Elephas maximus indicus: one gene and its partners. The protein of the gene in region 2 purifies or fractionates together with the protein of the main gene of each other region. This does not show direct contact. Links are inferred from orthologs where the notes say so. Each region holds a gene or a part of one and is shown on either strand. Other genes may lie near its edges. The genes, in order: PELI3, IRAK1, TOLLIP and STIP1.

What was found.
Region 1: the proteins of IRAK1 (region 2) and PELI3 purify together in Homo sapiens (affinity purification with western blotting; 7 studies listed by BioGRID and IntAct, with this or other methods). This does not show direct contact. The link is inferred for Elephas maximus indicus from reciprocal best matches to the Homo sapiens genes IRAK1 and PELI3.
Region 3: the proteins of IRAK1 (region 2) and TOLLIP purify together in Homo sapiens (affinity purification with western blotting; 11 studies listed by BioGRID and IntAct, with this or other methods). This does not show direct contact. The link is inferred for Elephas maximus indicus from reciprocal best matches to the Homo sapiens genes IRAK1 and TOLLIP.
Region 4: the proteins of IRAK1 (region 2) and STIP1 purify together in Homo sapiens (affinity purification with mass spectrometry; 3 studies listed by BioGRID and IntAct, with this or other methods). This does not show direct contact. The link is inferred for Elephas maximus indicus from reciprocal best matches to the Homo sapiens genes IRAK1 and STIP1.

The regions. Positions count from the first base shown.
Region 1 is NC_064825.1:129,581,469-129,588,624, reverse strand, and holds the start of PELI3 (E3 ubiquitin-protein ligase pellino homolog 3), read right to left. Parts: upstream 3,005-7,156; 5' UTR 2,917-3,004; intron 2,475-2,916; exon of another isoform or gene 2,293-2,474; intron 1,040-2,292; 5' UTR 1,039-1,039; coding exon 887-1,038; intron 336-886; coding exon 264-335; intron 1-263. UniProt on the Homo sapiens protein: E3 ubiquitin ligase catalyzing the covalent attachment of ubiquitin moieties onto substrate proteins. Involved in the TLR and IL-1 signaling pathways via interaction with the complex containing IRAK kinases and TRAF6.
Region 2 is NC_064846.1:2,291,205-2,299,138, reverse strand, and holds the start of IRAK1 (interleukin-1 receptor-associated kinase 1), read right to left. Parts: upstream 3,011-7,934; 5' UTR 2,913-3,010; coding exon 2,777-2,912; intron 2,693-2,776; coding exon 2,525-2,692; intron 2,401-2,524; coding exon 2,263-2,400; intron 2,190-2,262; coding exon 2,095-2,189; intron 1,932-2,094; coding exon 1,743-1,931; intron 1,596-1,742; coding exon 1,531-1,595; intron 1,408-1,530; coding exon 1,293-1,407; intron 1-1,292.
Region 3 is NC_064825.1:136,634,831-136,642,543, reverse strand, and holds the start of TOLLIP (toll-interacting protein), read right to left. Parts: upstream 3,004-7,713; 5' UTR 2,866-3,003; coding exon 2,833-2,865; intron 1-2,832. UniProt on the Homo sapiens protein: Component of the signaling pathway of IL-1 and Toll-like receptors. Inhibits cell activation by microbial products. Recruits IRAK1 to the IL-1 receptor complex. Inhibits IRAK1 phosphorylation and kinase activity.
Region 4 is NC_064825.1:127,373,033-127,380,122, reverse strand, and holds the start of STIP1 (stress-induced-phosphoprotein 1), read right to left. Parts: upstream 3,003-7,090; 5' UTR 2,905-3,002; coding exon 2,896-2,904; intron 1-2,895. UniProt on the Homo sapiens protein: Acts as a co-chaperone for HSP90AA1. Mediates the association of the molecular chaperones HSPA8/HSC70 and HSP90.

The DNA of each region.
Region 1 (7,156 bases), on a different chromosome or scaffold from region 2:
GCCCAAAGGAGACATGGGTGGGGAGGAAGAAGAGGAGTCTGTGCTGAGGGAACAGCTAAGTGGGTGGTGCAGGGATCCTGTGCTGGGGGTCAGGCAAAGACTGGGCAGGGAGGAGGTCTGCCCAGCCACCAACTCACGTCACTTCCTCTCTCCTGGCCTCAGTTTTCTCACCTGTAGCATGGGGGTCAGCTGTGGCTTAGTGAAAGTGCTCTAGACCTGGAGTTAAGAAAGATCTGGGTCCAAATCCCAGCCCTGCCACTTACCAGCTGTGTGCCCTTGGGCCAGTCACTTCCCCTCTCTGAGCCTCGGTTTCCTCACCTCCTTCCTCACAGCATCTTTGTGAAGATTGAAATGAAATAATGTCCATGAAAGGGCTTGGCACAGGCCTGCCTCACAGAACCCTTGATACGTGCCAGGCACTGTGCTACGTACTTTACAGAAATCACCTCATTCCTTCCGACAACCCTCTGAGCCCTCTGAGATAGGAATTATTATCATCCCTACTGGTCAAATGGGAAAACCGAGGCACAGGGAAATTCAGCAGCTTGAAGAGGCAGGATTTGAACCAAGTGATTTTGCTCAAGAATGAGAGTTCTTCACCCCACACTATACACAGTAGGCACTTCATAAAAGGCAGCCAGTGTGATTTTTTTTCTCATCTGATCAGAAACTTGGGTGTGCAGTAATTATCTCAGTCATTTATGCAAAGTAGGAAGGTAAAATAACAATTATGAATTGAGGTGGGTTGGGTCGACTGGATCTCTTGATCTGGCAAGATGATGGGGGACCAAAAGCAGAAGGGAGCTATGTGGGAGACCTGGGGTCCTTTTTCTGGCTGCTCTGGGGGTGCCTGATGACCCGCCCTGCCTGACCCAGGGATGCTCACCCCAGTACGATGAGTTCACCATACTTGATGGGCTCCTCGCCTGGCTGCGCATCTTCACCCGGAGACGAGAGGACGCAAGAGCCCTTGCTCCCAGGGTGCCGGAGGTCTGAGGTTTGGGGGGACCCCACTTCAGGGTTTCCTTCCAGCACCATTCTGGGCAGGGTGGGAGAGGAGAAAAAGCTTTGCAGACTCCCACCCCAACACCAAAGACTTGTCACCGTGGAGTCGATTGCAACTGATAGCGACCCTATAGGACAGAGTAAACTTGCCCCATAGGGTTTCCAAGGTTGTAAATCTTTACGGAAGCAAACTGCCACATCTTTCTCCTGTGGAGCAGCTAGTGGGTTCAAACCGTTGACGCTTCGGTTAGCAGCCAAGCAGTTAACCACTGCGCCATAAGGGCTCCTTCTCCCCCACTCCCAGCCTCCCTGGATCTCAGCCCTGGCCTGCTGCAGGGCCATCTAGGCTAAGGCCAAGTGACCTTTCACCACCTCTGTTGCTATGGCAACCACTTTACCTCTACCTCTCCTAAACTGCCAGAGTTGCTGGGATACCAGGGAGGGGAGATGGTGGGCTGGAACCAACAGGGAGAGGTCGCACCATCAGAGGGTGAGGATACTTGGAAGGGCCAGAGGGATAGATCAACTTGGCCAGAAGCTGCCTTTGGCTAAGACACCAGTCTGGGATGTGCTTGGAAGAGGGGCACCCCAGTGTTGGGGGCCCTTACCCCTTATCTGAGACTCAGTACCTGGATTTAGCTCTCTCAGCCCTGGGCCCTCAGAGATCCCCTCTCTGTTAGGTTCTTGGAATTCATCTGTCCGTCTTCATCTTTCTGATTCTTTGTGGGGCCAGGCCTCTGTCCGTCTGTCTGTTTCTCAATGACTCTCTGTCCTCCCAGCCGCTGTCCTTCTCACCGTTTCTCTCCCCACGTTCCTCCCCACCTCTGCCTGTCTGCCCGCCTCCTCCTTCCCATCCATCTGCCTCAGTCTCCCCATCTTGGTTTCGTCCTGTGGGCAGGCCTCCGAATCCCTCCCGGGGGCGCCCCCTCCCTCCCGCAGGTGTCTGTCTGCGGCCCCCGGGCCGCCGGGGCTCCGGGGCCTGTGGGGCGGCGCTCCCCTCTCTGGCTCGGGCTGCAGCAGAGCCTCGCCCTCAGGAAGCCTGTTTGGAAACCGCCCGGTGCAGGAGGGGTCGTCCGGGCAGGCCCGCGCCCAGCGCCCCGGGCGCACAGGCGGGCCCATCGCCTACGCAGATACCCACCCGTGGGCCTGCCACACACCCGCGAGCCTAGACCCGCACCCTGACCGGCGGCAGTGCGGGACGGCTAGGGGCCCCCGACCCACGCACGCCCCTAGCCACGGCGCCCGCCGCTCTGGTCCGCAAACACGCCCCCCGCGCCAGCGCCTCACCTCGCCGCGCTCCGGCTCCGCTCGCGCAGTGCCCTCCCCGCCTCACCCCTGCTCGGCCGGGGCCGCTGCGGCGGGATGGGCCGGGCCCACCACGACTCCGCGCTGCCTCGTCACGGGGACACCCGGGGCCCGGGAGGGGGCCAGCGCCAGCCGCCACACTCCGCCCACTGCCGCGAGGCCCCGCCCAGTCTGCCCCGCCCCTGGGAGAGCCCCTCCCAGCCGGAGACTCCGCCCCTGCGGCTAAGCAGAACCGCGGTCGGTAGAGCCACGCCCCTCACGGAGACCACGCCCTCCCCAGGCACCGCCCCCCGAGTCCCTTGAAGCCCCGCCCACCGCCCTGTCTCGGGGACTCCCTCGCCCCTCCTGGCTGGCTCGGGTACCCTGCCATAGCTCCAAGACCCTTGTCCCAATTCAGGGACTCCCCGGACCCCGGCCCCATTTCCGGGGACTCCTCGGTTTTCCAGAGATCCCGGCGCCCCGTCCACACCGTAGCCAGGGCCACGGCGCTGGCTCGGAGACCCTTACGCCGCCTTAGTCCCGGGGACTCCCAGCCTCCCCCCAAGATCCCGCCTCCCGGCTCCGGGAAGCCGCGGAATTAGAGGAGGAAGGGGAGAAGGAAAATACCAGAGGAAGCCGAGGAGGGACTGTGCGGCGGAGCCGAGCCGCAGGCTGTCTTCCAGCCAGCTACGCCACCTTCACGCTGGGCCCTCTCCTCAACACACACACACACGCGCGCGCGCGCGCGCAAATGACCGTTTAATCCCTGTAGTCGTCTATTTTACAGATGAGAAAACAGATCTACGTAAGTGACACGTTCATGGTTACTTCGCTAGGAAGGGGCCCAGAAGGGATCTCAGCTTTGTGACTCTAGAGTCTCACCTCCTAACTTCTGTACCTTGTCGTTATAACTAGGGGTGGCTGGACAGGGCCTCAGAGATGGGGAGCAGGGGAAATCCAGCGATGCATCAGATCCGGTCCCTGCAGCTCAGGGTCTCTTGTCTGCTGGGGAAGTATAACCTCGGTCTGGGGGAAGTCCAGGCTGTGGACCCATTAATACTACTTTGGAGGGTGTGTATATATGCAGAAATCAGGGCAGGCTGCCCAGAGGAGGTGGCCTTTGACTTTGACCATGAATAATGAGTGGGAGTTTGTGGGTACATTTCTGAGAGGGAGCACTCATCCCCTCTCCTCAGCTTGTTGCATGTAAAGCTCATAGCCCGCCAGACTCTTCCTGGCCCACCACATGCACTCACCACCACTCACTGCCCCACCTAAAAATAGTCCAATATACCAACTGCTCCACCAACTGTTCTGGGACCTGAGCAGCCAGTTGCAACAAGAAAACAGTTGACAGCACATCCTTTAGGGTCAAAGGCATTCATTAATCAAAGAGAAACTCCCAGAGAGGCCACCACTGACTAGGTCAGGCTGCCGGGCTACAGATCCTGCACCACAGGACAGCTTCCATCCTTGAATGCCTACAGTATGCCCACCTCCTTGCTGGGTACACACAGCCACCATACGACATGGGGCCTTATGACAGGCTCCCTCCCCTTTGTCCCTCCAGCTTCCAACAACATAGTGCTTGCCATAGACAGGCCCTCAGTGAATGTGCGCTGAATGACTGTTAGAATCCCCAGTTCACAGGTAAGAAAACTGAGGCTCAGAGAGGAGGAAACACTTGCCCCAGGTCACACAGCCAGGCAGATATAGAGCTGAGGTTTGACCAGAGCCCCATTGCTATCGCCAGACAACAGGGGGAAAGTCGAAGAGTGCCAGGGCCAGCTTCAGGCGGCAGAGATTTCTCCTGGGGTGAAGCTCCGGGGTGTAGAGGAGAGGAAAATGGGGACACCACCACAAATGGACGAGTAAGCAACATGATGAATGGCGAAAAGATTGAAATTGTCAAGGATTTCCTTTTACTTGGTTCACAATCAACACCCATGGGAGCGGCAGTCAAGAAATCAGATGATATATCGTATTGGGCAAATCTGCTGCAAAAGACCTCTTTAAAGTGTTAAAAGCAAAGATGTCACTTTAAGGACTGAGGTGCCTGGATCCAAGCTCTGGTGTTTTCAATCACCTCATGTGCATGTGAAAGCTAGACAATGAATAAGGAAGACCAAAGAAGAATTGATGCCTTTGAATTATGTATTGCCTAAGAATATTGACTATACCATGGACTGCGGCAAAAACTGGAAACCCTGGTTAAACCATAATGGTTAACAGCTACGGCTGCTAACCAAAAGGTTGAGGCATTTCCTATCCACCAGGTGCTCCTTGGAAACTCTATGCGGTTCTACTCTGTCCTATAGGGTCGACTGTATGGCAGTGAGTTGTTTATGCTTTTTGCCATAAAAACTAACAAATCTGTCTTGGAAGAAGTACAGCCAGAATGCTCATTAGAAGCAAGGACAAAGAGACTTTTTTCTTACATACTTTGGACATGTTGTCAGGAGGGACCAGTCCCTGGAGAAGGACATCATGCTTGGTAAAGTAGAGTGTTAGCGAAAAAGAGGAAGACTTTCAAGGAGATGGATTGATACAGTGGCTGCAACAAAGGGCTCAAGTGTAACAATGATCGTGAGGATGGAACAGGACCAGGCAGTGTTTTGTTCTGTTGTACATGGGGTCGCTATGAGTTGGAATCGACCTGATGGCACCTAACAACAACCGTCAGGCACAGAACACAGGTTCCAGCCCTGGTTCCTGAAGCCAGTGTTCTGTCCCAAGAACTCCAGCTTCTTAATTTCTCCAGGCCTCAGTTTCATTATTTGTAAAATGACAGTTTGTCATACTGTGGCAGTTCGGTGTTGCTGTGATGCTGGAAGCTATGCCACTGGCATTCAAATACCAGCAGGGTCACCCATGGTGGACAGGTTTCAGCTGAGCTTCCAGACTAAGACAGACTAGGAAGAAGGACCTGGCGACCTACTTCTGAAAAGAATTAGCCAGTGAAAACCTTACGAGTAGTGGCAGAGCATTGTCTGATATAAAGCCGGAAGATGAACCCCTCAGATTGGAAGGCACTCAGGATACGACTAGGGAAGAGCTACCTCTTCAAAGTAGAGTTGACCTTAAGGACATGGATGGAGTCAAGCTTTCGGGACCTTCATTTGCTGATGTGGCATGAATCAAAATAAGAAGAAACAGCTGCAAACATCCACTAATAACAGGAACATAGTATGTACAAACTATGAATCTTGGGAAATTGGAAATTGTCAGAAATAAAACGGAACTCACAAACATTGATATTGTAGGCATTAGTGAACTGAAATGGACTGGTATTGGTCATTTTGAATTGGACAATCATATGGTCTACTATGCCAGGAATGACAACTTGAAGAGGAATGGTGTTGAATTCATCATCAAAAAGAACATTTCAAGATCTATCCTGAAGTACAATGCTGTCAATGATAGGATAATATCCATACGCCTACAAGGAAGACCAGTTCATACGGATATTATTCAAATTTACGCATCAACCACTAAGGCCAAAGATGAAGAAATTGAAGATTTATACAACTTCTACAGTCTGAAATTGATCGAACATACCATCAAGATGCATTGATAATTACTAGTGATTGGAATATGAAAGTTGGAAACGAAGAAGGATGGGAGTTGGAAAATATGGCCATGGTGATAGAAATACTAGAGATCACGTGATAGAATTTTGCAAGACCAACAACTTCTTCATTGCAAATACCTCTTTTCAACAACATAAACGGCGACTATACACGTGGACCTCACCTGACAGGGTACACAGGAACCAAATCAACTACATCTGCAGAAACAAATGATGGAAAAGCTCAATATTGTCATTCAGAACAAGGCGAGGGGCTAACTGCAGAACGGACCATCAATTGCTCATGTGCAAGTTCAAGTTGAAACTGAAGAAAACTAGAACAAGTCCGCGAGAGCCTAAGTATGACCGTAAGTATATACCACCTGAATTTAGACGTCATCTCAAGAATAGATTGGTCGCATTGAACACTGACGACTGAAGACCAGATGAGTTGTGGAATGACATCGAGACATCATACACGAAGAAAGCAAAAAGTCATTAAAAAGGAAAGAAAGAAAAAAACAAAATGAACCTCAGAAGAGACTCTGAAACTTGCTCTTGAACACTGAGTAGCTAAAAGGAAGAAATGATGAAGTAAAAGAGTAGAACAGAAGATTTCAAAGGTCAGCTCGAGAAGACAAAGTAAAGTATTATGACGACACGTGCAAAGAGCTGGAGATGGAAAACCAAAAGGGAAGAACACGCTCGGCGTTTCTCAAGCTGAAAGAACTGAGGAAAAAATTCAAGCCTCCAGTTGCAATACTGAAGAATTCTGTAGCGAAACTATTAAATGATGCAGGAAACATCAAAAGAAGATAGAAGGAATATACAGAGTCACTACACCAAAAAGAATTGGTCGATGTTCAACCATTTCAGAAGGTAGCATATGATCAAGAACCGATGGTACTGAAGGAAGAAGTCAAAGCTGCACTGAAAACATTGGTAAAAAACAAGGCTCCGGGAGTTAATGGAATATCAGTTGAGATGTTTCAACAAATGGATGCAGCACTGGAAGTGCTCATTCCTCTATGCCAAGAAATTTGGAAGACAGCTACCTGGCCATCCAACTGGAAGACATCCATGTGTATGCCTATTCCCAAGAAAGGTGATCCAACTGAATGTGGAAGTTATCAAACAATATCATTAATATCACACACAACTAAAATTTTTCAGAATATCATCCAAAATTTGCTGCAGCAGTACATCGACAGGGAACTGCCAGAAATTCAACCCAGATTCAGAAGAGGACGTGGAACAAGGGATATCGTTGCGGATGTCACATGGATCTTGGCTTAAAGC
Region 2 (7,934 bases):
CATGGAGGAACCTGGAAGGCATTATGCTGAGCGAAATGAGTCAGAGGCAAAAGGACAAATACTGTATAAGACCACTATTATAAGATCTTGAGAAATAGTAAACCTGAGAAGAACACATACTTTTGTGGTTACGGGGGGGGAGGGAGGGAGGGTGGGAGAGGGTTTTTTTTATTGATTAATCAGTAGATAAGAACTGCTTTAGGTGAAGGGAAAGACAACACTCAATACATGGAAGGTCAGCTCAATTGGACTGGACCAAAAGCAAAGAAGTTTCCGGGATAAAATGAATGCTTCAAAGCTCAGCGGAGCAAGCGCGGGGGTCTGGGGAACATGGTTTGCGGGGACTTCTAAGTCAATTGGCAAAATAATTCTATTATGAAATCATTCTGCATCCCACTTTGAAATGTGGCGTCTGGGGTCTTAAATGCTAACAAGCAGCCATCTAAGATGCAGCAATTGGTCTCAACCCACCTGGAGCAAAGGAAAATGAAGAACACCAAGGTCACGCGACAACTAGGAGCCCAAGAGACAGAAAGGGCCACATGAACAAGAGACCTACATCATCCTGAGACCAGAAGAACTAGTTGGTGCCCGGCCACAATCGATGACTGCCCTGACAGGGAGCTCAGCAGAGGACCCCTGAGGGAGCAGGAGAGCAGTGGGATGCAGACCCCAAATTCTCATAAGAAGACCAAACTTAATGGTCTGACTGAGACTGGAGGAATCCCAGCGGCCATGCTCTCCAGACCTTCTGTTGACACAGGACAGGAACCATCCCTGAAGACAACTCATCAGACATGAAAGGGACTGGTCAGCGGGTGGGAGAGAGACGCTGATGAAGAGTGAGCTAATTATATCAGGTGTACACTTGAGATTGTGTTGGCAACTCTTGTCTGGAGGGGGGATGGGAGGATAGAGAGAGAGGGAAGCCGGCAAAATTGTCAAGAAAGGAGAGACTGAAAGGGCTGACTCAAGACGGGGAGAGTAAGTGGGAGTAGGGAGTGAGATGTATGTAAACTTATATGTGACAGACTGATTGGATTTGTAAACGTTCACTTGAAGCTTAATAAAAGTTATTATAAAAAAAAAAAAAAAAAAGAGACCCATAGAAAATGGCCACCCAACCTCGGGAGGAGCCCTAAGCTAGGGGCTGCAGGGAGAGCCGGGAGCCCGGGCCCTGCCCACTGGTGAGACTCGTTCACAAATACTGAGCCCAAGGCTGTATGCCCAGTTCTCCCCAGGACCCCGTGTGCCACAGGCCCAGGGACCTGTGCCAGGTCAGGTGGGGCTACCTGGAAGTGGAGGCGGTCTTCCAGGGAACCATTGGGCAGGAAGCCGTAGACTAGGCAGTAGAAGCCGCTCTGAGCACAGTAGCCGGCAAAGTCCACAATGTTTGGGTGACGAAACCTGCTTGACAAAGGGAGGGCTACGTGTCTCGCCTCAGGCTTCACCACACTTTCCCCCTGGCCATGGCGGGGGCCCAGAGAGCCAGGCACAGCCCTGGAAGCATTTTGGTAGGGGGAAGCTCACCGGGACAGCTGCTCCACCTCAGTCAGGAAGCTCTGCTTCACAGCGTTCCACTCCAGATCGGCGTCCTGCAGCCCCGGTGAGGAGGGGAGGGGAGGGGAGAGGCTCTGCTCACCATGGCCACCCCACCACTCCCACTGCCACCTTTCCCGGACTTTCTGCAACCCAGCAGCCTGGGACCCTGAACTGGCGCCTTCGCCGGAGGACACACCCACCTCCTTCAGCCTCTTCACAGCATACACCGTGTTCCTCATCACCGCCCGGTACACGCAGCCAAAACCACCCTCACCGATCTTGAGCTCCTCGGAGAAGTTGCGGGTGCCCTGGGCAATCTCAGGGAGGGGCCAGCAGAACGGGGCAGGGTGGGCCCCCTGCAGGAAAGCCAGTGGGCTCTCTGGGCTCTGCTGTGGGACAAGACCCCAGCAGGTGGGCTCCTGTGTCTGGGTCTCCTCCCCTCTGCCCTGGGCAGCCAGGTCCCCAAATCCACCCCAGCTGCCTCCCAGCTGGCTGCTGGCTCCGCTTTCTTCCTCTGTGCCTGGAATCTTGCCTGAGGCAAGGGGCACCCACCTCGGTGGAGCAAGGGGCTGGAGTTGGCAGTGCTGGTCGGGGGACGGCAGGGTGTGCGGTGGGGCCGAGGTGGGGCCCAGGATGGGTCTGGGAACCTGTTAAAGTGAGAGACCACGGTCAAGGTGCCTCTTCCCCAAACCCATCTTGTCCAGCAGCCCCGGCTCTTACCTGGGGAGAGGAGGGTGGAGGCTGAGGACTGCGACTTCCTGGGGCTCCTGGCCTTGGCCTCAGAGGGGACAGAGATGCTGCTGGGCCCCAGGGGCGGGGTGGTGGCGGTGGGGGGCGGGAGAGGGGCAGGAGGATGCCCTGTGCACGGCGGAGGAAAGGGAGAGGGTGAGTGGCGCCTCGGCCCTCGGCCCCCGGCCCCCGGCCCCCGGCCCCCGGCCCCCGACCCCCGGCCCCCGGCCCCCGGCGGCCAGCGGGCACTCACAGGCCGTGATGATGTCCCGAGCGCGGAGGAGCTGCAGGTGCGTGAGGATGCGCACGAGGTCGGCCACGCGGGCGTTGCGATTGATCCAGGGCCACAGGACGCTGGCCGTGCGCTGTCCCGAGCGCTCGCAGAGCCGAAGCTCGGTCTGGTCGCGTACGATCAGGGCCGCTGCGGGGCAGGGGGCGTCAGGCGGGCAGCGGCGACCCGGGGACCCCCCGCCCCCCGCCCCGGCCCGCGTCCGCCGCCACCCACCGAACTGGCACCAGTCGGCAGGCTCCAGGGCGTCCATCACCTTGTAGAAGCGGCACATGACCCAGGGCGGCACCTCGTACAAGAAGTGCTGGGCGCCGGGGGCCGCGGGGTCCCCCGGGCCCGGGCCCCCGGCCATGGCCCGCCTAGCGCCGCCGCCGCCGGGCCGGGGCCTCTGGGGCCTCGGCGGGCGCGGGCCTCGGCCGGCCGGGTCGACGGACACTGACTCACTTCCCCTTTAAGTCGCCTCGTGCGACGCCCGGCGGGACGGAAGGGGCGGTGCCCGGGCCCCGCCGCCATCTCGGCCGCCGCCGCGCAAGCCTTGGCCACAAGGGGGCGCCCGCGCCCGGCCGCAGCCCCTGCTCCCGCGAGCCCGGGAAGTCGGACCTGCACCTCGCCCAACCGGGCGGGCCTCCAAGAGGAGCGGCCTGCTAAGTGGGGCGCTGAGGGACGAGGACGAGCGCTTCGGGCACCAGAAGCACAGGGCACGGCGAAGGCACAGTATGTTTCAGAATGGGAGAGTGCTTCCAGGTGGCTACAGCCGGACCATGAGAGAGCCATTTGGAGGTCCCGTTAAGATGTTTGGTCTTTAAGTGGTAGGCAGTGGCTAGTCATCAGAGTTCTGGGCAGGACAGGGTCAGTTAGGTGTTCCACAAAGGCCCCCCTTGGCTGACTCCAGTCAGGGAGGGCGCCCTGGCTCCATCTTCTCTCCTTCAAACCTGCTCCACCAAGTGTTAGCTCCTCTACTTTCCTTCTCTACTGGCTCCCTCCAATGAGCACATACACCTAAGTCTCTTCTGACCGAAAAACCGATCTTGGTGCCTCCCCGCATCACCTTCACCTCCTGCTGTCTCTCCTCCGTTTTGCTGTCACACTTCTCAGGCAGTTCTCACTTCCCCTGGGGCAGGACAGCAGGGTCTGGCTTCCCCCAGTCACCACCTCGAACTCTGCTCAGCTAGTTTGACTTCTTTAGCCACGTTTGTGTCTCTTGCCCACTCTCAAAATGTTCTCCACCCTGATTTCCTTGGATTCTTGGGCCACCCCTCCACTCCTCTACCCCACACCTCAGCAGCCACTATCTTCCCATCGTCCCCTGATCATCTCTGGGGCTCAGCCCTTCCCCACTGGCCCCCGCCTGCTTTATTACCTTCCCTGCTTACACTCTTCCCGGGGTCCTGGAGCCCTCTGATGGGGTCCCAGTTCCTTTTTGCAGCACACATGGCTGTCACGATGTGGCCCCTGCCCATCCTCTCATTTCTAACTCTCTCCACAGAGCAGCAGCCTTAAGCAATTCAGAACTCTGCAGGGTTCCAAAAATGTACATGCAGGGTTTTCTGTGTCCTGGAGTTTGCACATGCCACTGGATTGGCCTGGAACATTCTCCTTGTCCAACAGCTGTGGCGAACCTTTTCCGGTCCCTCGGCAGACAGAGCTGACTGCAGTCCACCCGGCACCTTTTACTTCTTGTGCATCCTGCTCACCACAGGGCCACCACCCCACTAGACGGGGAGTCCCCAGGAGCAGGACTGTTCCTTCTTCAGTTGGCTTCTCCAGCTGCCAATAAGTCTTCTCCGCCAGCTTCCTGGCCCCTCTCAATCCTGACCCCAAAGGAGCATCCCCAGCTTGTGTTCCCAGGGACTTAGGGCTGCTTCCAGAAGCCAGATCCTCCCACAGGGCCTGAAATCTATCCCCACTGAGCTTCTTCCACAGGACTTCTCAGGAGACAGCCCTTCCTGAGACACACCCTACCATCTGAGATGACCACACACATGCTAAGCTTCAGGGGAGCAGGGCCTGGGGCCTCCTTGCTCATGCAGGCTGTCAGCTCCTAGAACAGTCCAGATGCCTACGAGTGGGATCTTGTCCCCCTCCCTTTCAGTTTCCATTCAGGGCCAGGACTTGAGTGTACCTTCCAGTACGTGTGCGTCCAGCATCTGCAGCGTCCTCAGTCTGGAGCCAGGGCAAACAGCTACCGAGAGCCCATACCCTGACTGGGAACCAGAGAGGATGGGGGGACAGGCCTATAAACCCCTTCCGCTCCTGGGGAACCAGGCTCTTGTGGCCCACAGGGCCCCCTTAGGGCAATCTGTCAGCATGCCCTTGCTGGGTCAAGCGGCCTGGTCATCAGGCAGCCAAGGCCAATGCAGAGGTCACAACTGACGTTCGAGACAGGAAGAGCCAGAGCTGGGAGAAGGGGTCCAAAAGCACCCAGATGCTCCCCGCCCCTGGCAGGGACACGCAGACCCTCCCGCCCCCAGTCCCTGTGCTGTGATTAGAAGGACTGGAAGAGATGGAGGCAGGGCAGACCTGGCCGGCCCTTCTGGGGTTCCCCATTGTCCTCAGGACTTGGAGCACCCCAAAGAGGTGGCCTCCGCAGACGAAGAGCGCATCCCTTCTTTCTGCTCTGCCAGGCCTCAACCCCGTCCATCTGTGGCAAGGGCAAGCCAGAGACGGTCAGGAAACCCGTGTGACCTGGGAGGGGGACTTCTGACAATGAAAGCCCAGACCTTGAGTCACTTTCACAGAGAGATTTATCGAGAATGCTAACAGCACAGGATACAGTACTTCCCAACAAAAGGTGCAAACGCGTCACTTAGAAAGGCATGCTGAGTATTCTTTGCTTCACATGTATTAAAAACCTTACAAAAATAAAATAAAACTGCGTGCTGCCCATCTTTTCGAATAGTAAAAGAACCTTATGAAAAATCACTGGGTTTTACAACAAAAGACACAAACGGACATTTTTATGTAAATTTATAAGGCAAACTCTTTATATAATAAATAGGTTACAGGGATTCCGTGGGGGTGTTTTTCAACGTATACAGGTACATTCAGACAGGTTTACTGAAATGGTACAAATTTCCTTAATAAATTGCCTTTTGTTTTTAAATATATCAGTGCTTTCAGTCATTTGGCTATACACAAAGAACCCTTTTTTTTTTTTAACACTACAAAAAAGCAATCAATATTTTTTTTGTTTTTAAAACGACCTACTTATTTTCTAAAGTAATTGTCCCGAAACACAAAACCCGAAGGTTAATGCCATCAAGGCTGAGTCTGCCCCAGGCTCTCCCTACCCTCCACACTTCCCCCATCCTCGGACAGGCTTCCGGGCTGGGTGGCCCGTGTCACTGGCCTCCAGGCTGGGACAGGGAGTGTAACTGCGCCTCCGGAGGGCAGCCCTCCCCCACCTGGTTTTTGTAGCTACTGCCCCTCCCTCCCCGTGCAAGTGGCCACCACGACCGGCACTGTCCCTGGCCTTTCCAAGGAGGGCTGCCGGACACGGAGCAGAGATGTGTCCCATGAACCCCAAACAATGTCTAATGCTGGGTGACAGCTTCTCTGAGGGAAGGGAAGGGGGTTTCTCAATGCCACATTTTGCCAGGGATCAGAGAGCCCCCTCCCAAGTCAACTTACTGCCCTGGGACATCACATTGGTGTTGTGCATATGAATGGGGTGGGAGGGGATGCTGTGTCTTTAATGGTAACTTCCGCGGGACCCGCCTTGGAGAGGATCATCCAAACGCCAGGCCTGTTCAGGAGGAGCTGCTTCTGGCGGGGAGCACTCACCTCCCAGCGCCAGCTGGGCCAGACCCCTCCGAGGACCTCCCGGCCCCACCACTTAGGCCATCCACCCTCCCTCCCCACTTAAGCGAAGGCAGCTGCACACATCCAGTCCTCTCCTGGCTACCCTCGCAAATGCCACCTTGTCTTTCCTTAAAAATAACTCTGATGTGAGTAATCTTGGGGTGGGGGTGGGGTGAAGCCAAAAGAATCCACTGGGTGGTATGAAAGGGGTTTTGCTCTTAGAGGATGGCCACGTGTCAGCCAGAACCGGACTCTCTTTTGTCTTTTTGTCTTTTGGGGGGGTTGTGGCTGACCTGGGCAGGGGGCCATCTCTTCAGATTTCCCCGGAACGGGGGAAGAGGTAGCCCCTCTCATTTCAGTCACCGGCCTCCTCCCTCCAATTTTTGTTCATTTGTAAAGAAATGGTGTCTCTGGAACAATTACTTTAAACATGGTTACAATACAGACTTCAGTTCAAACACGTAAGAGATTTACTTAGCAAAGTTCCTTTCACCCACCAAAAACTACACAAATATAAGCCTCAACACCACAGTTAAGAGGACCAGTAGAGAGTGTCTCATGTTTGGAACACAAAAGGAAAAATCAAATCCAAACCAAACCCAAACAGAAACCCCCCAGAAAGACAAGGCAAGGGCAGGGCAGGAAGGAGAAAGGAGCGCAAACACAGCACGCGCTACAGTGTCCGGATACTCGGGCCGGCACGTAGTTAGTAACAGTCCTGGTCATATTTGGTCATATATTCATCAACTACTGACTCTGGAGCGGCTGTTATTGATTGAAGCAGGAATAAACTCAAACAGAAAAAGGCGGCCTTGGTAGCAAGGGAAGGAGCAGGCTTCAAGTTCTGTGACCCTTTCTGCACCCATCGTCCTCCACAGAAGCACTGAACAGGGGGCCTCACCGGCCGGCAGGGCTAGCAGCCCACGCGGGCTAACTCCGGCATTGCCTTCACTTCTGGTCAGAAATCACGTGCATTTACACATGGGGACACCCACCTGGGAGTGGCAGGACATCAGCGCCAGTGGTCTCCTGGCCGACTCTCCCCCACCCGGCCCACTGCTAATACTGAACACCAGCTTCAGGGTGAGTACCTCCCACCCAGCTTTCTCTCGAGGGTCCTGAGGGCAGCCCAGCCACCCAAAGGGCCAGAGACCCATTCCTCTTGTGAACGCGGGCCTCAGAAGCAGCAATGGCGCAGGGATGGAAGCTTTTGGCCCTGGTGATTATAATGCTCTCTGCTTTGGAAGAACAAGTTTCTAGTTTTTTTTTTTTTTTTGGTGTTTTTAATTAAAAAAGGATCAAAAAGAACCGTTACAGCTAAACTCTCTAGCAGATATTGCTCATTAAGAATTACAAAAGCAAATGCAATTTACTGGTAGGCTACGGGAGAAGAAAGGGGTGGTTCTGGAGTCTTCTCCAACTCCTGGTGGGGGCACACCGGACGCATGGGGTTCTGGAGTCCCTGGGGCCCTTCCTGGCCTTCCCATCTCCCCTCCGTCCCCTGACTCCCCATGCTGATCACCACGCCCAGCTCACTGGCAGGGGAGGGAGAAGTCGAGACTCTCTGTGGGTT
Region 3 (7,713 bases), on a different chromosome or scaffold from region 2:
CATCAACCCACGCAACTGTGTCACACACAGACACCAGCCTGTGCACCAACACACGGACATCAATCTACAGGACTGTGTCACACGCAGACACCAGCCTGTGCGCCAACTCACGGACATCAATCTACAGAACTGTGCCATACACAGACACCAGCCTGTGCACCAACGTACAGACATCAATCTACATGACTGCGTCACACAGACACCAGCCTGTGCGCCAACGTACAGACATCAATCTACATGACTGCGTCACACAGACACCAGCCTGTGCACCAACGTACAGACATCAATCTACATGACTGTGTCACACAAAGACAACAGCCTGTGCGCCAACACATGGACATCAATCTACAGGACTGTGTCACACACAGACACCAGCCTGTGTACCAACATCAATCTATATGACTGCATCACACAGACACCAGCCTGTGCACCAACACATGGACATCAATCTACATGACTGCATCACACACAGACACCAGCCTGTGCACCAACACACGGACATCAATCTACATGACTGCGTCACACACAGAAACCAGCCTGTGCGCCAACGCACGGACATCAGTCTACATGACTGCGTCAAACACAGACACCAGCCTGTGCACCAACACACAGACATCAGTCTACATGACTGCGTCACACACAGACACCAGCCTGTGCACCAGCACACGGACATCAATCTACAGGACTGTGTCACACACAGACACCAGCCTGTGCACCAACACACAGATATCAATCTACATGACTGCGTCACACACAGACACCAGGCTGTGCGCCAACGCACGGACATCAATCTACAGGACTGTGTCACACACAGACACCAGCCTGTGCGCCAACTCACGGACATCAATCTACAGGACTGTGTCACACGCAGACACCAGCCTGTGCGCCAGCACACGGACATCAATCTACATGACTGCGTCACACACAGACACCAGCCTGTGCACCAGCACACGGACATCAATCTACATGACTGCATCACACACAGACACCAGCCTGTGCACCAACGTACAGACATCAATCTACATGACTGTGTCACACACAGACACCAGCCTGTGCACCAACACACAGACATCAATCTACATGACTGTGTCACACACAGACACCAGCCTGTGAGCCAACGCACGGACATCAATCTACAGGACTGTGTCACACACAGACGCCAGCCTGTGCACCAACACACGGACATCAATCTACACGACTGTGTCACACACAGACGCCAGCCTGTGCACCAACGTACAGACATCAATCTACACGACTGTCACACACAGACACCAGCCTGTGCACCAACGTACAGACATCAATCTACAGGACTGTGCCACACAAAGACACCAGCCTGTGCACCAGTGTACGGACATCAATCTACACAACCGTGTTACACACAGACACTAGCCCCAGAAGCACTGTGGAAAGACATCAGACAAAAGCGTCACTACCTTGATGTCACATGTCCTACATACCTGAATCTTCTCTGAAGCCCCCAATTACTCATTACAGAACGTAGCTTATCTCAGTTTCATGTAGTCACAGAGCTTAATGACTGTTTCCAATCACCTCGGCGACAGGAACAGCTCAATTTATGCCAGGCACTGAGCTAGGCATTGTGCCTGTTTAAGCTCAGCCCAGCGGGAAGGGGGCCAGCTCCACACCCATGAGAGGAGCTCTAAGGACTGACCAGAAGTGCTGTCAGCCCGAGAACCTGGGTGGAAGACGGGCTGGTGACGGTGGCAAGGGGCCTTGGGACTGAGGTCAGTAAGGTTCCAAACAAGGGAGATAAGTTCCCGGGAGTGTAAACAGGTACAATGAGTCAGCCCTCACCCCACCACGTGAGGTAGGTCCTACTGCTCCAGACAAGGGAAATGAGTCCCCGGGAGGCTGAGAACACGTCCCAGGTGTATGAGACAAGCAAGAAAGTGACAGGGCAAGGAACTGGCCGAGCAGCCCCAGAAGCCCTGCTCAACCATTACACACACAGCTCTCGAGGACACAAAGATGGGAGCCTTAATTTAAAAGTCATGGTTCCCTTGCTTCTCTACCAGGCAGTTACGAAAAATGAGAAAACTGCAACCGGCCATCCCCCTGGAATTCCCTGTCCTGGCTGAAGACAAAGAGATGGCAACACTGACAATCAGAAGCAAGCCACAGATGCCCCTGCTGCCTCTGGAACCGCCCCACGCCCGGTTCGGTACGATGTCCGCCAGGCAGCTTACTTTCCCACTTTAAAAAGGCCCTGTGCCCCAAGACGGGCTTCTAACACGCCTGCGTCTTCCTTCCCAACTGGGAAAAAACGCTACACGAAAAGGGTTCTTTAACCAATGTCCAGCTTCAAGGGTGGGCGCCCGGACAACCCCGGCTCCCGCGAAGCTCCTCGGCCCCCGCCCAGCCCTGGACCTTCCGAGTGAAGCGGCACAACCACGACCTACAAGGACCAAACGCGACCCCCACGGCAGTTCTGCTCCGCTGTCTCGTCAGCGCTCGCCAGCGTGGCCGTCACAACCCGGGCCTCAGAGGACCGGCCTAACCCGGCGGGAGGCGGCCGCCGCCGGCCATTCACCCCCAGGGCGTCCCGGTCGGTCGGTCGGTCGGTCGGTCGGCGCCAGCCCTCCAGCGACGTCACCAACACCGCGGCGGGGAAGACGCCCCCCCTCAGGAGCAGGGCGCCCCTTCGCGGCGCTCGGTTCCCACCCTCCCATCTGCAACGGAGGAAACGGAGCTCTTGGGGGGGGCCGCCAACCGGAGGCCGCCGCTCTGCGCGGGGGAAGGGGCGCCTGAGGAGCGCCCGTCGCCGCTGAGGAGAGGGGCCCGCGCCCCGCCGCCCCCGCCGGGAGACCTCACCGGGCCGCGCTGCGTGCTGACGGTGGTCGCCATGGCGCTGCGGGCGGCTCCGCGCCTCGCCGACCCCAGAGCGGACCCGCCGGCGACCCTGCCGCCCCCGCCGGAGCCTGCGAAGCCGACGGTTGTCACCGCGAGACCGCAGCCCCAGTCAGCTGACGGCGGCCCGCCCCCGCCGCCGCCGCCGCACCGCGCACGCGCCCGGCCGCGCCCCCACTGCGCAGGCGCCGCGCCCGCCTCGCCCCTTCCGGCCGCCTGTCCGACCCGCGCTCCCAGCTCCGCGTGGGCCGGGCCTCGGCGGGCGCCTGCGCAGTCGCCGTCTCCTCCGGCCGGCCGGCTCCGCGAAATGGCTCCCGTCGCGGCCGTGCGCGCATGCCCAAGCCTGGGCGCGCCACCCGCGCCAGTGGCGTCTCACAGGCTCTCCCGCGGCGGGCAAAGGACCCGCTCCGCCTGACCCTACCCGGGCGGGGCCTCTCCCGTCTGCTGACAGGACTGAACAGCCGAGGGGCCTGCCGTCGTCCCGCGTGGCCCTGCAGGCGCCAAGAGCCGCCGAGCGGCAGCGTACCCCTCGAGGCGACCCCTGTGGACCGGCCCTGAGGGCGAACCGGCCCTGACCCGGAGGGTGAATCGGTCCTGAGGGTGGCCCGGCCCTGAGGGCGAACCGGCCCTGACCCGGAGGGTGAACCGGTCCTGAGGGTGGCCCGGCCCTGAGGGCGAACCGGCCCTGACCCGGAGAGTGAACCCTTCCTGAGGGTGGCCCGGCCCTGAGGGCGAACCGGCCCTGACCCGGAGGGCGAACCGGCCCTGACCCGGAGGGTGAACCGGTCCTGAGGGTGGCCCGGCCCTGAGGGCGAACCGGCCCTGACCTGGAGGGCGGACAGGAAACACGATGGAGTGACGAGGGGTGGCCCACACGGGGAGTCCTGTCAGCCGGGAACCTGGCGGCAGGGGCGGTGGGGGTCAGCAGGACTGCAGGGCTGAGGGGCCCAAAGGCCTCCAGAGGGGACTGCTCCCATTGAGGAATCGCTGAGTCGCAGGAACAGCAAGCCAGCCGGAGGTGGTCAGAAGTGCCAGTCATTACGGGGAAAATTCTCCCACTTGGGCAGGAGCCCAAAGCGAAAGACAGCAGCGGAGGGTCCTCACATGTGGCTAGAACCACCACCAGCAGGCGTGTGATCCTTCTTGGAGAAGGGAGAACTGTGGTGCTTAGTGGGCTGAGAACAAAACAGATGGCGATTCAGAAAGACATCATCTCAAGCACTCCATTTACTTTGAGGCTGCTGTGTCTGGGTGGAGGAGTATTAATATTTAACCCCCCCCCCCAAAAAAAAGAGCTGTAGGAGCCAAGCTAAAGGAGAGAGGAATGGGGGCTGACATACTTCAGCCGGCTTTGGAAAGTGGGTGGGCCACTTAAATAAATGGACAAGATAGAAGGTGTTCCCAAGAGAAGGAGCCTGAGACTGCTCTTCTATTTCTCTCCATCACTTCACAGCTAAATGGCTCAAAATATACTCTGAAAAAAAAAAAAAAAAATATATATATATATATACTCTGACTCCAATTTCTCTTCCTACATTCTCTCTGAAGCCCATTCCAGCCAGGCTTTTGCCCCCAGCCCCTTGACCCTTGTCAAGGTGTTCAGTGATCTCCATGTTGTTAGTGGTCAATTGCCAGTACTCATCTTTCTTGAGCTACAGCAGAATTGACACAGTCACTTCCTCCTAGAAATGCTTTCTATGCCCTCCTGGTATAAATGGCTGCCCAGCAGCACATTAACACTGGGTTAGGCTATCAAATGTCACACTTAAAAGGATAATTAGAGGCATTTAATGATTATTTTGGAGCCGTGGTGGCACGAAGCTTAAGTGCTTGGCTGCTAACTGAAAGGTCCTTGGTTCTAACCCACCAGCCACTCCATGGGAGAAAAGGCATGATGATCTGCTCCCATAAAGATTGTTGTTGGTAGGTGCCATCGAGTTGATTCCGATTCATAACAACGCTATGTACTACAGAAAACAGTGCCCGGTCCTGCAGCATCCTCTCAGTCATCGCTATGTTTGAGTCCATTGTTGCAATAACTGTGTCAGCCCATCTCGTTGAAGGTCTTCCACTTTTGCACTGACCCTCTATTTTACCAAGCATGATGTCCTTCTCAGGGAGTGGTGCCTCCTGATAACATGTCCAAAGGATATGAGACAAAGTCTCACCATCCTTGCTTCTAATGAGCACTCTAGTTGTACTTCTCCCACTCCAGGTTTGTTCGTTCTTCTGGCATTCCATGGTATAGTCAATATTCTTTGCCAACGCCATAATTCAAAGGCTTCAATTGACAGCACACAATAATGAAGATTTTTTACAAACGTACTAAACTCATTGCTATTGAGTCGATTCCAACTCATAGGGACCCTATAGGACAGAGTGGAACTGCCCATAGGGTTTTCAAGGAGCGGCTGGTGGATTCGAACTGCTGACCTTTTGGTTAGCAGCCAAACTCTTAACCACTGCACCACCAGGGCTCCGTACAAAAGTACAGATAGTGGTAAAGCAACCAACAAGGTATCTCATTGCTAGTGGGAATGTAAAATGGTACAGCCACTTTGGAAGACAGTCTGGTAGTATCTTATAAAGCTAAACATAGGCTTACCATTCAATTCAGTAATCACACTCCTAGGTATTTACCCAAGTGAGATGAAAACGTATGTCCATATTAAAACCTGAACATGAATGTTGTAGCGGCTTTATTCATAATTGCCAAAAATTGGAAGCAACCAAGATGTCCTTTAGTAGGTGAATGGATAAACAAACTGTGATACATCCATAAAAAAACAGGGGAACAAATTCAGCAATAAAAAGAAATGCTCTGTCAAGCCACAAAAAGACAGAGGAACCAGCTAGTGGACAGCACCATCCCTTGGGCTGAAGAGCTGATGTAAGGAAGTTGTTAGTACAATCAGTCTAGTGAGAGTGATGAGCCACCTGAGGAGAGCTGGGGCCTTGGGTGGGAAAGCACATCTCACTCTCTATAGGAGGGGAAGATTGATACAATTTTGCAATATACCATGCAGGAGAATGTATTTGGAGGGGCAACTGGAAAAAAAACAGTCCACCTCTTTTGCACCTGGACATCCACTTTTTTTTTTTTTTCTGGTGAAAAAATCTGGTGTTCCCAACACAGCAAAAATGCAGTCTCATCCTTTACCACATTTTTGTGGATGATGTCAATTAAGTCACATTACTACTTGGAGTAAAAATTGAAGCATTAGTTATCAAGAGTGTTTTGTTATTGAAAATTATAAACAGAAAATATAGCTGCAACATTCTCTATTGCTGTACCTGTTAATGAGGTCCAAGATGATAACCAAAGCTTCCTTCTGCTACCATTCATTTCACGTTCCCCTTATTCTCTGCCAAACACCTCAGCCGTATCGATCCTGAAGCTACTGGACATAAGGAATTCCTTTAAGGTCCACATAGAGCAGTGGTGTCACTAGGGTTGATATCACCCCACCCCCCACATGGACCAGACCATACAGAATCCTTGGTAATGTTTTTTATACTAATGTTACTTGTAAATTGTAATTCCCCTACGTCTTTGTTATCTGGTGCAGCTATAACAGAAATACCACAAGTGGATGGCTTTAACAAAGAGAAATTTATTCTCACAGTTTAGGAGGTTAGAAGTTCAAAATCAGGGTGCCAGGGGAAGGCTTTCTCTCTCTGTTGGCTCTGGGGGAAGGTCCTTGTCATGAATCTTCCCCAGTCAAGGAGCTTCTCAGTGCAGAGACGCCGGGTTGAGAGGACACGCTATTCTCCTGGCTCTTGTTTCTTGGTGGTATGAGGTCCCCATGTCTCTCTGCTCCCTTCTCTCTTTTATATCTCTAAAGAGATTGGTTTAAGACACAGCCTCATCTTGTAGACTGAGTTCTGCCTCATTAACATAACTGCCACTAATTCTACCTCATAACTGACTCGACGGCACTGGGTAACATAACAGAGGTAGGATTTATAACACACAGGAAAATCACATCAGATGACAAAATGGTGGACAATCGAACAATACTGGGAATCACCGCCTAGCCAAATTGATACACATTTGGGGTGAGCACAATTCAATCCATAAGACCATGTATCACTCCTTTTTTTTTTAAATTAGTACTTCATTGTCAAAAAAGTTATTGATACAGGCTCACAAATACTAAAATTACCACAATATTATAGCTAAAACACCAGCAAATTTGACAAAATCTCAACTATAAAAATGCTGGCAGCAAGGAAAACAGCAAAAGGAAGAATTGATGAAGTAAAAGAACTGAAGATTTCAAAGGGCAGCTCGAGAAGACAAAGTAAAGTATTATAATGACATGTGCGAAGAGCTGGAAATGGAAAACCAAAAGGGAAGAACACACCTGGAATTCACAGGCTGAAAGAACTGAAGAAAAAATTCAAGCCTAAAGTTGCAATAGTGAAGGATTCTATGGGGAAAATATTAAACGACCCAGGAAGCATCAAAAGAAGATGGGAGGAACACACAGAGTCATTGTACCAAAAAGAATTAGTCAATGTTCAACCATTTCAAGAGATAGCATATGATCGGGAACCGATAGTACTGAAGGAAGAAGTCCAAACTGCTCTGAAGGCATTGGCGAAAAACAAGGCTCCAGGAACTGATGGAATATCAATTGAGATGTCTCAACAAACAGATGCAGCGCTGGAGGTGCTCACTCGTCTATGCCAAGAAATATGGAAGACAGCTTCCTGACCAACTGACTGGAAGAGATCCATATTTATGCCCATTCCCAAAAAAGGTGATCCAACCGAATGAGGAAATTATAGAACAATATCATTAATATTACACACAAGCAAAGTTTTGCTGAAGATCATTCA
Region 4 (7,090 bases), on a different chromosome or scaffold from region 2:
AGATGCTTACCCATGGCCCACCTGCTGTTTCCTCCTATCAGAGAAGAACCTTTACCTTTCCCCAAGTACCCATGTGGCGATATGTCACCACGTGGTAGATTAAGGTTCTGTTCCTTAATGGAAAACTAAAAAAAAAAAAAAAAACCAAACAAAACCCATTCCCATCTAGTCAACTCTGACTCATACAGACCCTATAGGACAGAATAGAACTAACCCAAAGATTTCCAAAACTATAATGTTTAGAGAAGCAGACGGCCACATCTTTCTCCAGCAGAGAAGCTGGTGGGTTTGAACGGCTGACTTTTTGCTTAGCAGCCAAGTGCTTTACCATGGTGCCAACATGGTCCCTTAAAGGAAAGATAGGCCCCTAAAATCGTCCCTGTCTTACCACACTTTAAAATTAGTATGTTACCATGGAGGTGAGAGCTTAGTCTCCTGTCCTCTCAAACATGCAGACTTGGCTCAGCAGGAAACCAAGGGGCAAAATAAAGTGAAGGGGACCTCAGCCCCTCTCCCAAAAGGTCAGGTGCCCTGAAGCAGCCTACCTGAGGGAGGAGGAACATCTCAAAGGCTCCTTAAAATGTAAACATTCAGTGAGATCATAGAATGTATCTATCACCCACCTATGACCAAATAAATGTGGTTAAAAGAAACGATTCTGGAACCCCAAGGCACACCAATTGGGAACCTCCACCAACCAGAAATCTCAGAGAGGAAAGGGAGAAAGAAACTGCCAAATTTAGAGAGAGAATGAAAACCTTAAAGCCCAGGATGGAGGTCAGAGATCAAAAAGTTACAAAACTCAACTGGTATCAAAAGACAGCTGAAGAACAGCTTCAAGTCCTTGCTATCTTATATATATATACATATAAAAAAAAACACAACAAAAAACAAAAACCCAAACCCACTGCCAAAAAGCTGATTCCAACACACAGCAACCCTACAGGACAGGGCAGAACTGCCCCATTTGGTTTCCAAAAGACTATGTTTACAGAAGCAGGCTGCCACATCTTTCTCCCGAGGAGCAGCCAGTGGGGTCAAACTGTTGACCTGCCGTTAGCACCTGAGCACCTAACCAGTGTGTCACCAGGGACCCCCCTCTATCCTACAGAACTGCATTTTTCAAACTGAGTGGTGACCTGCAGTGGGTCAGAAAATAAACTTCGTAGGTCATGACCAGCATTTTAGGACTTGAAATAGAAACCACTAACACCTTAAGCACAAGATACATAAATACCAATCTCTTTAATGTGGCATATGGTTGTGTGTCTGTTTCAGATCAGACAGAGAAAGGATTTGGGAGACACAAAAAAATCCAATTTGGACATTCGAATCTGTCCAATTTTCCAGTATTAGGCGACATTCAAATTTGTCCAATTTGAACCTTGCCTAAAACCGAAATATGGATCTCAGAGTTGAAAACGGAAACAAAAAACAGAGACGTGTTTGTTTTGAGAAACAGGTTGAAGACAATAAGCTCTGACACACCTGGAATTAAAATGGCTAGTTATTATATAGATACATCTGCCATACAAATTTGCTGTTTGAGTTTACACATCCATTTTCAGCCTGCCAGTGCACACATTCCTATAATGGGCGGTGTGATCTCTTTCTACTATTTTCGTTACAGTGGGAACAGCCCCTTTCCTAAATTTAACACAGCAACGCGTTTATTTCAAGTCTTTCTTGCCTATACTACAGCCTACTTAATTCCAGACACACGGAGCAAAAAGTTTCTTAACCTCTCCATTCCCACCCTCGTTTTTCTCTTTAAATTAGCAAAGCAGCTCCAGGTTTGGCTAGAACAGTAATCCCTACATTAGAGCAAAAAGTTCACCTTGTACATCAGCCAAAAAAACGAGTCAGCCCAGTGTTCCTTTTTTTTCTTTTCTTTTCAATCCTTACGGCTGTTAAAGACAACTTCCAATCGAACAAACCCTAAGCCTTTCACGACCTACAGGCCACTGAGGACACACAACCAAGTCAGGGAAGGTAACCAGCAACAACAGCAGCTTCAAGCTTGGCCCCCCAAAATAAAAAGCAAAGATGAATTCTTTACTTCATCTATAGTCTCACTCTCCTATAGGAAGAAATTCCTCCTAGAGTAATGAGAAACCGACCTCTCTGAAGTGTCCGACCTCACTCACTCTAAAATCCCCTCCCCAAAAAATAATAATAAAATAAGGGAAGAGGGAAGAGGGGCCGGACACACAGCTGTGAAACACCGGTCATGCCGGGATTGATTCCACCGACACGGCCCGCCGCTCGTCCTGCCCTCAGCGCTACGCCACCCGATCTCAGACACAGAAAAGTAGTTTTTCACCCGACTGGGTCCCAGGCCACTAAGTCCCGCCGCTACATCCGCTGTTTTTCTGTCCCACCGCTCGGATTCTTCCAAGTTCATTGTGGCCAAGTCCGGGGTGGCATTCCCGCAAGCCATCTCCGATCGCCCGAATTGCGAATTTCCCCGACAAGGACTCTGATCACTCCGGCCACTCCTCTGGCCCCTCGCCGCCTCCGTACCCCCCCCAGGGTGCAGGCACCATGCCCCCCGCTCTCCCTGGAGCCACCCCCCGGGAGGCCTCGGGGCCCGGCCGCGGCCCCTCTTACCGCTGCGGGCCGGCCTTACGCGGAGCCGCTGCCTCCCCTGGCCCTCGTCGCCGGAGCGGGAGGCCACGCGCGGTCCCAGCTCTGCGCGGTCCGACGGCCCGGGCCTCGCTGCACTCTTCACCTCCCACCCGCCGGCCGCGGCCCTCATACCCTCGCCTCCCCGCCGATGCTCGCTCGCCCCGGCCTCCCAGTCGGGCACCCGCCTCGCTCTCCTCCTGCGGCCGCGGCCCGGCCCGCCCTGTCCCGGAGCCGCCCCGGTGCTCCAGCCTACCCCTCCCCCTTCACCTGCTCCATAGCCTGGTCCGGAACCCCGTTGAATCGAACTCGTCGGATCCGCGTTCCCAACCGCACGCGCCTCCTTCTGGAACCTACTAGAAGCTGCCGGGACCCCCCGCGCCCGCCCCGTCCTCTCCTGCTGACTGGTCGAGCTCCTCCTGGAGGCTCTCTGTGCTCCTCTACTATTGGTTTAAGTCCTAGCCTATCATCTTCTCTTCACTCTCATTGGGTAGCGGAGAGTAATCCCCTCAGCCCTGCCCCCCCGCTTCTCGGGATTGGGCTATCCCTAGCAAGCCCCGCCTACCTCATGTTCCATGATTGGTGGGAGTGGCGGGCTTCTGCTACAACGATTAGTCACTTGCTCCGTCAATCACGGCTTCGCTAGCCGCACCCATTGGTTCAGTTCTTTCTGGAAATTTCCACCTCTCCCATTGGGCTGACGGAGCTCTTGGCGCAATCGTCTCCAGAATAAAATTTCAACTGGGCGGAGACTTGCCAAACACCTTGCGCTGATAGGGTTAAATTGCTGTCCGTCAAAGAGCCGTGGCCTGGTTTCGCCCCGCCCGTGGTTTGTCGGAGGTTGCAGCCGCAGTCGCCCTCTGCTGCTGGTGCCGGGTTGGTTGCGGGTGTGTGGCAGCCGGCGCAGCCGGAGCTCAAGGCCCTTTCACGCCTGGCCCTGCTGCGAGTTCCGGCCGGTCGTTTTGCTCCTCCCGGCAGCAGAGGCCTCAGCCTTCCTCCCGTGCGTCGGCCGTGGGGGTCTCAGCCGGCGGCGTGACTGTCCGCGTTGGTCACGGGAGAAGGGGAGGCGCTCCCTTCCCTTGGGCGCCGGCCTTCCCGAGCTTTCGGCCTGTTAGGGATGCCGCGTGGCGGTGGCGAGCGCTGGGACTCGAGTTGGACCGGTCGGGGCACTCACGCTGGCGGGACAGCTGGCCAGCCGGTCTCCATGAGACTCTCGGGTCAAAGGTTTGCTAACCTAGGGGTTCAGGAGGCCGCGTGCACGAAGGCATTTTGCATCGGCTAGCACTTACTGAAAGGGAGCTGTCTTCGTTATTCTGACGTAAAGGGGGGAAGGAAGCAAAGACCTGAATGAGGTACTTGACCACCTAGTAGGGACTTCAATGCCAGCCCCAAATGCGAGGGGTAAGAAGGGCAGGCACCCTGAGAGAGGCGAGAGGGCTTAGGGGGCGCGATGGGCCTGCAGGACCCATACTAAATCGTTGGGATTAAAATGCTGTTTCCAGGGTCAATGAATGGAACAAAAGAGCCACATGTCTGGGGTCTGGATGGGGCTTGCTGAGGGTCGTGAACCTACTGTGTCCTCATTCTTCCCCTTCTTGGGTAACACAGTGTCTTCCTAGGGCTTCAAGTGCCTGGCCTATACTAATACTTTGACTCCACAGCCTCCTCTTCCTCCCCAGCCTGTGTCTGATCCATTCTCAACTCTGCAACCAAAGTGACGGCAGACTGGCATATCTGGTAACCCTTCTCCCTCGCTTAAAACTCTTGGAGTCTTTAGGATGGGGTTCAGGGCCCATCTAAGGTGGCAGTCCTCCTACTTTTCATCTTGGGAGTCTGGGTGGTGTAGAAAGTTGAGCACTTGGCTACTATCCAAAAGGTTTGTAGTTATAATCTACACTGCTGCCTTGGAAGAAAGCCCGGGTGATCTACATTCTAAAAGTTCAAAAAACAACACTAAAGGTCACAGCCATCGAAACCCCAGTGGAGCACAGTTCTGCTTTGAAACACATGGTCACCATCAGTCAGAATCAATTTGATGGCAATTTTTTTTTTTTTTTTTTGGTTTCTTTCTACTTTCAGCACTGAACTCCAGCCACACTGACATCTGTTCCTTGAACTAGGCCGACTCCTTCACTCTGGGCCTCCTGACAAGCTGTTGCCCCTGCTGTGCTCACTCTTCCACTGCCTCTGCCAGATTAATGTCCCATCTTTCAGGCTAAGATGAGCTGTCAGGGTTCCTTGATAACGTGTCCCCAACAAGCACACGATGTAAGCTCCACTCACTTGTGATTTGCTTTCATAACACTGTGGGCCATGCCCATGTCCAGTCACCAGTTAAACCAGTGGCTTTGGTATCAGCATCTCACTTTCCTCTAAGGGCTATGAGGACAGAGCCTATGTCTGTTTTCCTTTATTGTCCTGCTCCTGGTACCTCACACAGTGTCTGGCATGTAGTTAGCTGCCATTGAGTTGGCCCCTGACTTATTGCAACCCCGTATACAATGGACTGAACAAAACTGACCCTTCGCCGTCCCCATGATTGGTTGTGGATCGGACTGTTTTTATTGGCTGGTTTTCAAAAAATAGTTTGCTAGGCCTTTCTTCTGAGACCGTCCTAGTCTGATGGCTCTGCTGAAACCTGTTCAGCATCAGAGCAACACACAAGCCTCAGATGGGTCATGGGTGTGCATGAGGCACACTGCTAGGAATCAAATCTGAGTTTCCAGCATGAAAATCTAGAATCCTGCCACTGAACCACCACGTTGATCTGTCAAATATAACGTTAGGTGCCATCGGGTGGTTTCCGACTCATAGGAACTCCCTGTACAACAGAACGAAACACCGCCCACTCCTGTGCCATCCTCACAATCATCGTTGTGCTTGAGTCCATTGTTGCAGCCATGGTGTCAGTCTATCTTGTTAAGGGTCTTCCTCTTTTCTCTGACCCTCCACCAAGCATGATGTCCTTCTCCAGGGACCGATCCCTCTTGATAACATGTTCAAAGTATGTGAGACGGAGTCTCGCCATCATTACTTCTAAGGAGCATTCTGGTTGTACTTCTTCCCAGACAGATTTGTTCGTTCTTTTGGCAATCCGTGGTGTATTTGGTATTCTTTGGCAACACCATAATTCTTTTTCGATCTTATTCATCGTCCAGCTTTCGCATGCATATGAGGCGACTAAACACACCATGGCTTGGGCCAGGCGCACCTTAGTCTTCAACGTGACCTCTTTGGTTTTAACACTTTAAAGAGGTCTTTTGCGGCAGATTTACCCAATGCAATATGTTGTCTGATTTCTTGACTGCTGCTTCCACGGGCGTTGATTGTGATTCAAGTAAAATGAAATCCTTGACAGCTTCAGTCTTTTCTCCGGTTATCGTGATATTGCTTATTGTCTAGTTGTGAGGATTTTTGTTCTCTTTATGCTGAGGTGTGATCCATGCATACATCAAATGTAACAGAACACCTTATCATGTGGCAGGTATAATCCTGGGCACTGGAGAAAAAGCAGTAAACGAAACAGATAAAAATCATTGTTTTTCTAGTCGTTATTCTAGTGGGGGAGAATAAACTCAAGTGTATAGTATGTTTGCGTAAGTGCTATGGAGAAAGACAGAGCTGAGAAGGGGTTAAAGGAAGCCTGGGTAGGGGGGATGGTCTTGCATTTTCAATAGAGGGGACAGGGCAAACCTCAAGGAGAAGCTAGTATTGTAGATGTAAGGGAGTGAGATTTGTGGAGAATTGAGAAGAACCTTGCAAGCCAAGGGAACAGCAGGTGCAAAGGCCCTGAGGTGGGAGTCTCGAAGGACTGGGAGAACAGGGCAGAGAGGGAGCAGGACATGAGACCATTCACTTTGGTTCTGACTCCCAGAGAGATGGGAACATGTTGGCAGGTTTTGAGCAGAAGAGTGACATGCTCTAACTTAGTTTGTCACTATCCCTCTGGTGCTGTGTGGGGAACTGGTGAAGATGGCAAGGGCGAACGCAGAAGGCCCCCCTTAGAAGCTGTTGCGATAATCCAGGAGGGCCCTGAGGGCGGTGAGCCAGGGCGAGCAGAGAGAGGTGAGGAGAGTTGGATTCAGGTGCATTTTGAAGGAGGAGCCAACAGGATTTGGCACAGAGCACGGAGAAGTACTCAAGGGTAACTCCGACGCTTTTGGCCTTTTCTCTTATTCATCTACTCGATGAGGTCTATCAGCAAGACCTTTATTTCTTCTTGGCAGTGTCTCCAGACTGCCACACTCTTGTCAATTCCACTGCCACCCCCCAGACCAGCTCTTCCATCTCTGGTTGACTTTCAAGGCTGTCTGTCATCTCCCCCACGTCTTATCTCCAGCTTCTTTCCCATTCCTCCCTTGGTGGGTCCAGCCTCCTTTCTCACACATTTTTTAAAGTCCTACTGTGTGCAGCCAATGTTCCGGGTGCAGGGGCTGTAGCAGTGAACAAGACAGCCCACAGGTGC